Linked DNA regions of Callithrix jacchus. The protein of the gene in region 2 purifies or fractionates together with the protein of the main gene of each other region. This does not show direct contact. Links are inferred from orthologs where the notes say so. Each region holds a gene or a part of one and is shown on either strand. Other genes may lie near its edges. The genes, in order: YWHAE and MARK1.

Region 1 (6,336 bases), on a different chromosome or scaffold from region 2:
GCCAATCTTGCTTTTTTAATACTTGCCATTAGTGTTCTTTCCCACCCTGTAAGAGTTCAAACTGAAACCTTTTCATATAAAGGTGAAAAAGGTGCCAGGCATGTCTATAGTGGTAAGAATTTACACTTCACAGCCGGGTGTGGTAGCTCACTCCTGTAATCCAAACACTTTGGAGGCCAAGGCAGGCAGAGCACCTCAGGTTGGGAGTTCAAGACCAGCCTGACCAACATGGTGAAACCCCGTCTTTAATTAAAAAAAAAAAAAAAAGAATTTACCCTTCACTGCAAATTGCAGTGATTCTTGATTTCATTATATCCCAAATTTGTGAAAGACAACTAAATAGAATGAAATATGCCAAATACTTATACTATACAAAAGCCTAAAGAATACATGAAAGAGCATCTGCTTTAAATATACAGGCTACTTGCAGAAGGGATTTTTTTTGGGGGGGAGACGGAGTCTCAACTCTGGCACTTAGGCTGGAGTGCAGTGGCATAATCTCAGCTCACTGCATCCTCTGATTCCCAGGTTCAAGGGATTGTACTGCCTCAGCCTCCCGAGTAGCGGGACTAGCAATATTTTTGTATTTTCAGTAGAGACATGGTTTCAACTGTGTTAGCCAGGATGGTCTCGATCTCCTGCTCTCATGATCCACCTGTCTCAGCCTCCCAAAGTGTTAGGATTACAGGCGTGAGCCGTGGAAGGAATTTTTAACACTACATTGCCCAGTTCTGTCTATGTATTTAGGTAGGAGAAAATCTTTTCTCCAAAAGTTAGTCCATTAACTGAAATGGCAATGGAAAATTGCTGGCCTATAGTCAAATAATTAGTAGTTAATCTAAATGCTTCTAAATTTATTAACAAAGTTAATTTACTACTACCCATATTTTCCCTAACAGGACTGTAGTAAAAAGTTCATTCCACACATGCTCCCTCTCCATTCTTCACTAACTAGCAGAATAAGCTAGCTGGAGGTGAGGTTCTGGTGTTTTCACAGGACAGCTCTCAAGTGACTCAACAGATGCATTCCTAGTGAATCAAAAATGACCGTCAAACTTCATCCTACCTCCCATGCAGCCAATCTTGACAGGGAGAAGATGAGGAAAGGACAAAATCAACAGCTGCTGCACAAGCCCAAATGCAGTTTATGTTGCCCCTCTGCTCCCCAAAATGGGGAAACTATTCATTTTTCCCCTCTATATTGTCCACCTTCCCCCCCTCCCCAGTGTCGCTCTGTCGTTGCCCAGTCTGGAGGGCAATGGCACAATCTCGGCTCACTGCAACCTCTACCTCCAGGGTTGAAGCAATTCTCCTACCTCAGCCTCCTGGGTGGCTATGCGCAGCTAATTTTATTTTTGTAGAGACAGGGTTTCACCACATTGGCCAGACTGGTCTTGAACTCCTGACCTCAGGTGACCCACCCACCTTGGCCTCCCAAAGTCCTGGGATGACAGGCCTGAGCCACCGCACCCAGCCTATTCCCCACGTTTTTGTACCAATTTGTATATGGGACGGTAAGACTTACTTGAGAAATGTTAAATGATGGACTTGCTTAACATGGTTTTAAACGATGTAAAAACTATTCCTTAGACCACTAGCTTGTTAAAGTAATGAGATGCTAGATGTAATCTTCAACTCCTAGCCCCAAACTTCAGTATTTCCTGTGACCCAAAATTGTCCTTTTCCTGAACACAACTTAACTCTTCCTCCCGTACCATTAAATAATCCATATAAATTGATTCCAATGCCCCAGGACAGAATTAAATGAGGCTACAAAGAAGTTTAGGCACTCGTTTAACACAGCAAGCAAAACAAAATAAACCTACTGCAGTACAGGGAGATAAGAGCGAAGGACAGCTGGAAAACCAGCACTTGCATACAAGCACCCAAAAAAGAAATCCTGCCAATACTCTTAGCTTCTTCCACCAGTCCCACCCCCTCCCCACACTTGATCAATTCCATTTGGTGACTAGAACTAAGGGAAAAACTTTTTGTCACCACAAACAAAAAAATATTGCCCTAAATAAAGGAATGGACAAAGACAGAGGCCGATTCCTGGTGTCTGTCTCCCCTCCCCTTTCTACTGAGTCCTTACCTTATGCCCAAGTCACAGGAAGAGCTCCTCACCTTGGAGATCTATTTTCCTACCGCTTTAGATGCTGAAAGGGACACCTAACATTAATAACTGCAATATTGTGGCCGTATCAAAGAATCCTACGTTCAAAACCCAATAAAGGTTCTGGTCAGAAATCCTCACGCCAAAATATAACTACAATAACCTGTAATTTATTTGGAAACTACAATCATAAGCTTTCCAATCGGTTTAAAAAAAAAAAACTCACATTCTTTCTAGTTACCACAGCCAGTTTAATTAAATAGCCCCAATCCCCACAAAACAGAAAGCATTCAAGTATCATTTGTTTCCTACGGAGAACACTAATAGATGAAGAGGGGAACATCTGGAGATGAGGGCGGAGGGGAGTCTTCCAATATAAGCACACCTATTTGTTTGATTTTTCAACACTGAAATAAAGAGAGCTGACCTTGAGCTGTACTTCCCCATTTTATCCCTTCCCTCCCCCAACAGCAACTTTGTTCAATACAAATAACAAAGAATTTACAAGACGAAATTTAGTTCAGCATATTTCGTATATTTGAGCTCTAGAGGACTTGTCTTATTTTCAAATCCCTGAATCCTCATTTCTGATAATGGGAACCAGCCCTGAGGTTATTCACATGACCAAATCGGCATTTCCAGGAAAGCAATGGCCCTCTGAAACATTTTGAAATATAGGTAGCTTAACCAGGAAAAATCTCACATCAAGGACACTAGATTCCAACCATGTCTCACCCCACCGTACCATGCAAAAGCATGAAAACCACAGCAGCCGCATACAGGACTTCTGGTTTCGGTAATACCACAGTATCGAAAAATTCTAAATGTGAGGGAAATTCAAGTCTACAGGTCAAAAAAGGTGGATGGGGGGGAGGATGAAGAAGAAACTTCCTGGCAGACACAATGGATATTTCGATCAAGTTCTGAAAGAGGACTGAAGAACCAATTAAGGGCAAAGGGACAATGAGCAAAGAGGAACTACTCAAAGTCCTACATAAACCCACTTATTTAAAATAAAAAATAATAATAAAAAAAAAGAATAGGACCTCCAACCTTCATAACTCAAAGACCCCAGGCCCAGCCGAGTGCCTGGAAGAGGCAAAGGTCCCCCACGAAGTACAAACCCGCATTTCGAGCCTGCAGAGTCAACCAAAATACAGTTACTAAACGCTACTGGAAACAACTTTATTTCAACAGGTCTTTTTTTTCCCATGTGTCATGAGGGTGCGGACAAACTGTAAAGTCATCGTTTTCCCAAACGCGAGGACGAAGGCTCGAACCCAGAGTCGCGCAGCCCCCTGGTCTCCTGGTTCCATCCATCAGAACCCGCTGCTGACGGAGCCAGAGAAAGGTTACAGGAACTTCGAGCTTCACCATTTAGAGCGCGGAAAAGGGGCGGGAGCCCGGATCTTCTGGACCTCCCCGGAAGGCGGCGAGGGGGGAAAAGCCCGAAACCCCTCACTCCGCGGCGCCGGCGGACGCAAAACAAACCCGACCGCGGCCCCGCAGCCCGCCACCGCCCAGGACCCAGAGCAGCGATGCTCGCTCGCCCGCTCCCCGCTGTCACCCAGGGCGGCCTCCCGACCCAGGCCCGAGGAAGCGCATCGCGTTCCAGGCTCTCCTTTGTGAGACTCCACGGCCGCCGCCCCACACGAAGCCTCCGGGGAGAAGCCACCGCCCCCACCCGCCATATTTCCCTGAAAGGCGCCCGCGCTACAGCTCCCGGTCTTGGCGCTCTCCCGTGTGGAGGGTGCTGCTTCCCCCGTCACCCTACCCAATCGTTCTCCACCTCCCAAGGCCGTCCCGGAAGCTTCCCTGGGGGTGGCCGGTTCCGCGGCAGCGCCCGCCATCTCCTCCCCCTCCCCCGCCCCGGGATTCGCCCTCCCCCCAGCCGCCATTTTACAACCAACTCCTCCACCCCGGCCTCTCGGCCCGCGAGGTATGTGTAGCTGAGGACAGCGAAGGGGTCACATTCCGGGGCACACGGCCTCCCGTCGCTCCGGGAGTTCCCAAGCCAGGTTCCGCTCCCCGAACCCAAGTCCCCGGGCCACGCTCGCGGACGATGCCGCCATTTTGTCTCCCGTTCCCGGCCTCTGTGGGCGGCGGCAGAGGGTCCAAGAATTCCAGCCCCCCGTTGCCCCCACAACTCACCGTCGTATCGCTCAGCCTGCTCGGCCAGCTTCGCCTGGTACACCAGATCCTCCCGATCATCCATAGCGGCAGCGGCTCCGGCAGGGTCTGCGCGACGGATGGAAACGGATAGTGTCTACGACTCTCTCAGCCTTTCGCTCCGCGTCCGGGCAGCAAAAATGGCGGCGCCTCAATCCGGGACTTCCGCCTGCGCACGCGGACAACTGCTCAGCTCTATGGCAACCGCTCCCTGGCAACTGGCGCGGGGGGCGGGTCCTGGAACCTGCGCCGGAGACGCCCCTCCTCCGTCCGCTCAGCGGGCGCCGGGGCCTAGAGGCGGGAACTGCGACTGCCGCGAGGGAGCGGCCCCCGGGGAACACGACGGCGGTGGCCAGGCCGGCCCGGGCTGCTCCTGAAAACCGCGGGCGCGAGACCTGGGCCAGACTGACGGCCGACGTCCGGCCTGCGGAAAACCACCACGGAGGCTGGGACGGTTTCTGTCATCATAGCAGGTCTTCCTGCCTGAAATCAGCGCTGTTTCTACCGCGCCCTGGTTTTCTTTTTCCTTTTTCTTTTTCTATTTTTTTGAGATGGAATTTCACCCTATCGTCCAGGCTGGAGTGCGATGGCGCGATCTCGGCTCCCTGCAACCTCCGCCTCCCGGGTTCAAGAGATTCTCCCGCCTCAGCCTCGCGAGCAGCTGGGATTACAGGCATGCGGCTCCACGCCCGACTGATTTTTGTACTTTTCGTAGCGAAGGGGGTTTCTTCATCTTGGCCAGTCTGGTCTCGAACTCCTGACCTCAGGTGATCCGCCCGCCTCGGCCTCCCAAAATGCTGGGATAACAGGCGTGAGCCACCGAGCCCAGCCAGCGTCCTGGTTTTCTCCGCCAAGCCTGGTCGTGGGCCTTTTGCAGACACTTTTACCCTCAGGGTAAAGAGCTGGGCCCTGGCCCCGGCGCGGTGACTCACTCCTGCCATCCTAGCAGTTTGGGAGGCCGAGGCCAGCGGATCACTGAAGTTGGGAGTTCAAGACCATTCTGGCCAACTTGGCGAAACCCCGTCTCTACTAAACAATGTACATATGAGGCGGGCGCGGTGGGGGGCGCCTGTAATCCCAGCTACTCCGGAGATTGACGCAACAGAATCATTTCAAACCGGGAGGGGGAGGGTGCGTTGAGCCAAGACGGCGCCATTGCACTCCAGCCTGGTCAACAAGAGCAAAACTCCATCTGAAAAAAAAAACAACACTGGGCCCTATTACAGTTGGCAGGGACAGGGGAGCTGCAGTTTTCACGCCTCCACTTTGCCCTCACACTCATCTTTATCTTCTCCTGTTTAACCTTTTTTCCCCAGAGGCTGCCATGAATGGGAGCAGGGAAATTGTTAGAAGAGGATGGTGTGGAGTACATAGTATAGAATAGTCGAACTGAGATCAATTTAAGATTGAGGAGGCAGGAATAACTCAGGGAACATTGCTTCAGTGCCTGGGCCTTGGGAGGCTGAGGCAGGAGAATCACTTGAGCCCAGGAGTTTGAGACCAGCCTAGACAACATAGCGAGATGCCATCTCTACAAAAAACTTTGTTTTTAATTAGCCAGCCATGGTGATGTCACCTGTGGTCCCAGCTACCCAAGAGACTTCGGTAGGAGGATTGCCTGAGCTTGGGAGGTCCGGGCTAAAGTGAGCCATGTTAGTGCAGCTGCACCCCTGCCTGGGCAACTGTGAAACCCTGACTCAAGAAACAAAACAAAACAAAAACAGAAAGAAAGAAAAAGGTAGGGCCCAGAGTGGTGGCTCACACCTGTAATCCCAGCACTTTGGGAGGGTGAGGCAGGTGGATCACCTGAGGTCAGGAGTTTGAAACCAGCCTGACCAACATAGAGAAATCCCGTCTCTATTTAAAACAATAATATACCTGTAATCTCAGCCACTCGAGAGGCTGAAGCAGGAGAATCGCTTGAACCCAGGAGGCAGAGGTTGTGGTGAGCCAAGATTCCCCCATTGCACTCCAGCCTGGGTGACAGAGGGAAACTCCATCTCAACAATGACAACAAAAAAAAAAGGTAGGTTAGAATCAAATTGTGAAGG
Region 2 (5,834 bases):
TAAGATTTAAAAATCAAAACAGCATTTAAAACAACCAAAAAAAGGGGGAAGAAGAGATTTCTTTTAGGAAGACTAAAAATTAAGAATACTATAATAAGTATTAAATACTGTATATAAAATTATGGTATAATTTCATAAAATATAATCACTTTACTGTGAAAGAATCTCCAAAAAGTTGTTTACATGATTGGTTTCCAGTTTGGGGAAGTTGCTAAACTAGAGTTCCAAAGTCGGCCTGGGTAGTTTCCACCTGGTTCCCAAATCCTCCGCAGAATGAACCTTACCTTCTTAGGGATCTCTGGAGCTTTTTTATTTGAACTAGGAAGGTCAGCTATAAAAGTTAGTTTTATATGTGAATGTATGACAAATGGAAGCAGTGACAGTTCGTTTCCCTAACTTTTGCATAATTCTGAATTTCCCTGGGGAAATACAACTGACGGTTGTTGCACCTGAATGTCACTGGCATTGAAGACTCAAAGCAAGGGAGGTAGGGTGGGAGGAGTACAAATTCAGAGACACAGCTTGGAAGGAGAGATATCATTCACCATCAGCCTTTGAAAAGGAAAGAAATGTCATTGAGAACAGCCAGAAACACTTTTAAAAGCTTCTAGATGGTGTATGGTAACATGATTTGACAAGGAATTAAGTTATTTATATGAAAATTTGGCCAAAATTGTGAGATTATCAAAAGCACGTATTTTTATATTGGTACATTTGGTGCTCATGGGGTGATTTTACAGCCTTTCAGGTTTGTCCTCTATTTTAAATTTCCAATTAATTTCTAGGGAATTAAATGTCCGTAGCTTCTAAGAGTAAGGTAGGAAATAATTTAAGTGTTCAAAAATTCGGAACTTATTGGTTAAAATAAAATATGGTATGTCTGTACAGTTGCATAGGCTACAGCTGTAACACTTTAGTATCACTTGATGTGGCTGGACGTTAATGACATGTTAAATGGGAAAGCAGGTAATGAAACAGTGTCTTCAAAACTATGAAATATGGATGACATTTCTAGCTTTTTTGAGAACTTTAGTATAAGTTAGTTTCATAATGCATCTCTCCATAATCAAATCCGTTTTCTTTGTCTTAGTAACATGGACCAAGTCTTTTTTTTTTTTTCTTTTTGAGACAGGGTCTCGCTCTGTTGCTCAGGCTGAAGTGCAGTGGTGCAATTACAGCTCACTGTATTCTCAACTTCTCTGGCTCAGGTGATCCTCCCACTTCAGCCTCCCTGGTAGCTGGGACTACAGATGTGTGCCATCACACCCAGCTAATTTTTTTTTTTGTACTTTTTGTGGAGACAGGGTTGCCCAGGCTGTTCGTGAACTCCTAGCCTCAAACAGTCTGCCCTCCTTGCCTCCCAAAATGTTGTGATTGAGCCACCACAATCGGCCTACATGTTCCAAGTCTTACTTAAGAATTTTAATAATCTTAGCCTCTTTGGTTCCATAGTTTATAGTTTTTAACATATGCTTTTATATAACTGATGACAAAATTCCTTCCATCTCGGAATCTGCATTACTGAAAAATTTTACATCTGTATTTATATAGTTTTGTTTATATGAGTTTTTTCCTTCTTCAAAGTGAATTCAAGCAAATATCTATTCACTTTTTAGCCCTCATGATTCAACAATGTTTAGGTTGATTATATATTTTAAATGCTGGATTAGCCAAAAGTAGCAAGTTTTTTTGTTTTGTTGGAGTAAGGATTAAACAGAAGAGTATTATATGCACACTGAAAATCATTTATGTATATTTTATTACCAGTGAGTAACTAGTCACGGATTTGACAGGCACAGCAATGGGTTTACAGGTCAGAGGTTGTGTGCATGGTAAGGAGAATGACTTATCTATCCCTTTTTGCTTATTTTCTCTCTTTTCTCCAAAGCTCCTCAGAAATGGCCTGCCTCCTAGCTCAAACCTGAGACTTGAGGAAATAAATATCTTCATTGTGGCACTGCACACAACACTGTTGGTGGCCTCAGCCAGACATGCCGTTGATCCCAGGGCATTTAGTCTGCTTAATATTCCCAGTGGTTGAGAGAGTTTCTCAAGCAGGTGAAGAAAGGCAGCCCACAGGCTTCTGAGTGGGCATGCCGTCTTCACTGCCCCAGGCTTCTGCTGGTGACGATACTTAGTGTAGAGTTGACTTGCACTCCTAGTTACTTAGAGCTGCTCACACCCCTGCTCCTGCCCTTTCTCCACCACCAGCTCACAAAGGAGGGAGAGAATAGAAACCCCACTCTCCTGTTGCTTTCAAACTGCTGGCATCTATTGGAGGATAAGCTAAAACTGATGAGTTCATTTTTGATGCTTTGTCTTTTACTTCTTAAAGCTAAATGAGAGGGAGGAAGGGGAAAATCTTGTTAATGTAAGATTTGGATCAATTAAAATTCTGTATTTTTCTCAAAATCTCCTTAAATACATTTCTTTGACTTTCCACAAATATATTTAGAATTTTTAAATTGCCTTTTTTTCTTCTTAAAGAACAATGTGTATTCTGGAGGTAGCATGGCAAGAAGGAATACTTATGTCTGTGAAAGGACCACAGATCGATATGCAGCATTGCAGAACGGAAAAGACAGCAGGTAAATGCCACAGTGCCAAGTAGTAATACCTTTGCTATTGTTCTTTGTTAGTGCTTTTGCTGAAATGCCTGCGGCTGAATGCGTCCAGGGAAAAGGAGTTACTATATGAAATAGTAAGATTGCAGCCAACCATTCTTACTAAGACATCTCTCCGGACCAGGATAGAAGGGTGGGAAAACATTTAGAGAAAACAGGAAATAATTCTCTTTACCTACCAATTTCTGAGTAAAATCTGATAGTAAATATTTTTCTGTAGCAAAGCAGATCATACCATCCTAATTTCATCTTCATAATTTAAATCTTACTCTTTTCTGCACCTGCTGCTTCCTGTCCTTTCACCTCCCATCAAGTCATTACTGTATTTGAATAATAAAGACTTTATCTTCCTCCCTCTGAAAAAATGTGGCCATCTTATTTCTCATCATTCAGAACCATATAATTTTTAAAGTGTTTCATTTCAAATTATAACCCATATTATTTTTATTATTTAAAAAATGTAACTTCTTTCTGTCATGAGTCAGAAGGACTGCTCAGCAATGTAGCACAAAGGCCTGGAGCCTGTTCTAGTGACATTCTTTCCTCAGATCCACCTTCCATCATTTCAGCAGTGTGTACAAAGCAGTCTCACCTGATAAGACTGTAAAGTAAGTGTTATTGTAAGGCAAGCAAAGAAAACTGTATCTATCTTCTTTGCAGATAAGATAATTGGAAATTGATTTCAGACTTACGATTTTTCCGGTACTAAATTTTAAGCTGCGGCTCCTTTTATCTGCCACTGTTAACCTATTGACTCATGATATGATCTAAAAGTGTGTTGATGTATCCAGAGATAATATTTTTGGTATAATTACCAATTCTGATTGTATCAATAATGGACAATGAACTACATCAACATATCACACCAAACTGTGATTTTGGGGAAGTAAAAAATGACTTAGTCATAATCATTTTGTCTGAAATTATTGTATCTCCACAAAAAGAATTTTATGCTTTCTCACATTTACATACATAGAGTAAGTGTGTGTGAGATTTTTTTCATGGATGATAGTGATACATTTACCCTGGATACTTTTCATAAGAATATTAATTTTTTGTCAGTCATTAATATTGCTGTTAATGTTAGTTTCTTTCAAATATTTCAGTCATGAGAAGTTATTCAGTTTAGATTTTTTAAAAATATAGTTCTTAAATTTTAGTAAACCACAATTTTTCTTCTTTTTTACATTTCCATGGTCTTCTCTACTGCTTTTTGACAAAAGCCTTACAGAGATGTCTGTGAGTAGCATATCTTCTGCAGGCTCTTCTGTGGCCTCTGCTGTCCCCTCAGCACGACCCCGCCACCAGAAGTCCATGTCTACTTCTGGTCATCCTATTAAAGTCACACTGCCAACCATTAAAGACGGCTCTGAAGCTTACCGGCCTGGGTAATGTGCTGGTTACATTTCATTTTGTTCACTGTTTAAAAATATATAGTACCTTGCATGTTCTGCTCATGTACCCCAAAACCTAAAATCAAATAAAAAATAAAAAAAAAATTCTAAATATACGCGATTACAAAAAAATAAAAAATAAAAAAATATAAAGTACCGTGTGAAAATACATGATAGTCACCATCACATTAAGTAAGACCTTTCTGACAAGATTCAGTGTTTGTAATAGAGGAAAAACTGAATTGTATCATAAATTTTCTGTGTGCTTTGGCTGTTATTGGAAATGTTGCATATAACTTGAGTCATTTTCTAGAGGAATTTTTTTAAGGATTTGGTTTTAAGTCCATCTATAAAGTTAAATATTGCTGCTTAATTTGTCACTTAGGTAAAGTGATTTTTTTATGATTTAAACATATCCAAACAAGCACTAAACTTGGAGTTGAGACCTTTGGGTAATGATCAGGCTCAGTTCCTTGTTCTTAAAAAAACAGGGCTTCAGTTTTCCTGTCAATGAAATTGATGAACTCAAGAGCCGATTCGGGTATAAAATTATATAACTGGTTTTCTAGTATTTTTCTATTTTAGGATTTCTCAAATTCAGTACTTCTGAATATTTTAACCCTCTGTTAGATTTGTTAAGCATATTGGTAGTGCCATGTGGTGGTGTACCATCACTGAAGCCTAAATTAGAAATGGGAAATTACTTTATTCAATGTCTTTTTAATAGACAATAAAATTTGTGTTCAGCATTGCTAAGTGGTTCAGGAGAATATTAAAAAAATATTTGCACTACCCCTGGTTTGGGATTCCTGATACTGAAGAGTATTCATCTTTGTGTCCCTGTTTCAGTCATTTCTTAATTTTTAGTCACCAGACAAAAGGTACCTAGTTTCAGTCTGAAATTTTATTCCTCTCCAACGATATAGTAAATAAAATTAACTCATGTCTCACAGCTGTAATGCGAACAAATAAAGTAGGGCCAAAAGAAGTAGCCATAGCCATTTGTTTCAAGTTTTTAGCATGAGTGAAAGGTTTTCTTGTCATTATTCTAAATGATATATCTTAATTTGTCCCAGCAGTACAACCCAGAGAGTGCCTGCTGCTTCCCCATCTGCTCACAGTATTAGTACTGCGACTCCAGACCGGACCCGCTTTCCCCGAGGGAGCTCAAGCCGAAGCACTTTCCATGGTGAACAGCTCCGGGAGCGACGCAGCGCTGCTTATAATGGGCCACCTGCTTCACCATCCCACGAAACGGGTGCATTTGCACATGCCAGAAGGGGAACGTCAACTGGTATAATAAGCAAAATCACATCCAAATTTGTTCGCAGGTCAGTACCAATGTACTATCGTGTTTTGTTTCCTCTAGAAATTACAAAGGGAATTACTTTTTTCTTAAATCTTTATAATAATTTTCCAAAGTGGTTTTATAACATTTCATTAGAGATGCTCTTTTACAGATTTGGAAGAAAAAAATTAGGAAGACATAAAGTCTTTTTCCTTAAGAGAAAGAAAAAAATGGACAAAATGAGATTTTAAAAATCTATAAAATAAAATGTAAAGAACAAAAATTTGACTTTAAAAATGTGTGTTTTAACAAAAGATTGTTTTATATTTAAAAGCCTTGATTGAGAAAAATAAATGAGTTTACATGTTTTCTTCAAACAATATTTATCTTGAAAATACTTTTAAATTGCTTGCTAATAATATATAATTTACATTTTGTTCTTCTTTGCATAAAAAGCCCACATACCAGAGTCATAGATCTATGTAATTTCACATCATAAAACCTTAACATCAGAACATAGGAAACACA

What was found.
Region 1: the proteins of MARK1 (region 2) and YWHAE purify together in Homo sapiens (affinity purification with mass spectrometry; 3 studies listed by BioGRID and IntAct, with this or other methods). This does not show direct contact. The link is inferred for Callithrix jacchus from reciprocal best matches to the Homo sapiens genes MARK1 and YWHAE.

What each region holds. Positions count from the first base shown.
Region 1 is NC_133506.1:66,852,664-66,858,999, reverse strand, and holds the start of YWHAE (14-3-3 protein epsilon), read right to left. Parts: upstream 4,444-6,336; 5' UTR 4,332-4,443; coding exon 4,268-4,331; intron 1-4,267. UniProt on the Homo sapiens protein: Adapter protein implicated in the regulation of a large spectrum of both general and specialized signaling pathways. Binds to a large number of partners, usually by recognition of a phosphoserine or phosphothreonine motif.
Region 2 is NC_133520.1:8,038,484-8,044,317, reverse strand, and holds part of MARK1 (serine/threonine-protein kinase MARK1), read left to right. Parts: intron 1-2,487; coding exon 2,488-2,588; intron 2,589-3,847; coding exon 3,848-4,012; intron 4,013-5,094; coding exon 5,095-5,349; intron 5,350-5,834. UniProt on the Homo sapiens protein: Serine/threonine-protein kinase. Involved in cell polarity and microtubule dynamics regulation. Phosphorylates DCX, MAP2 and MAP4. Phosphorylates the microtubule-associated protein MAPT/TAU.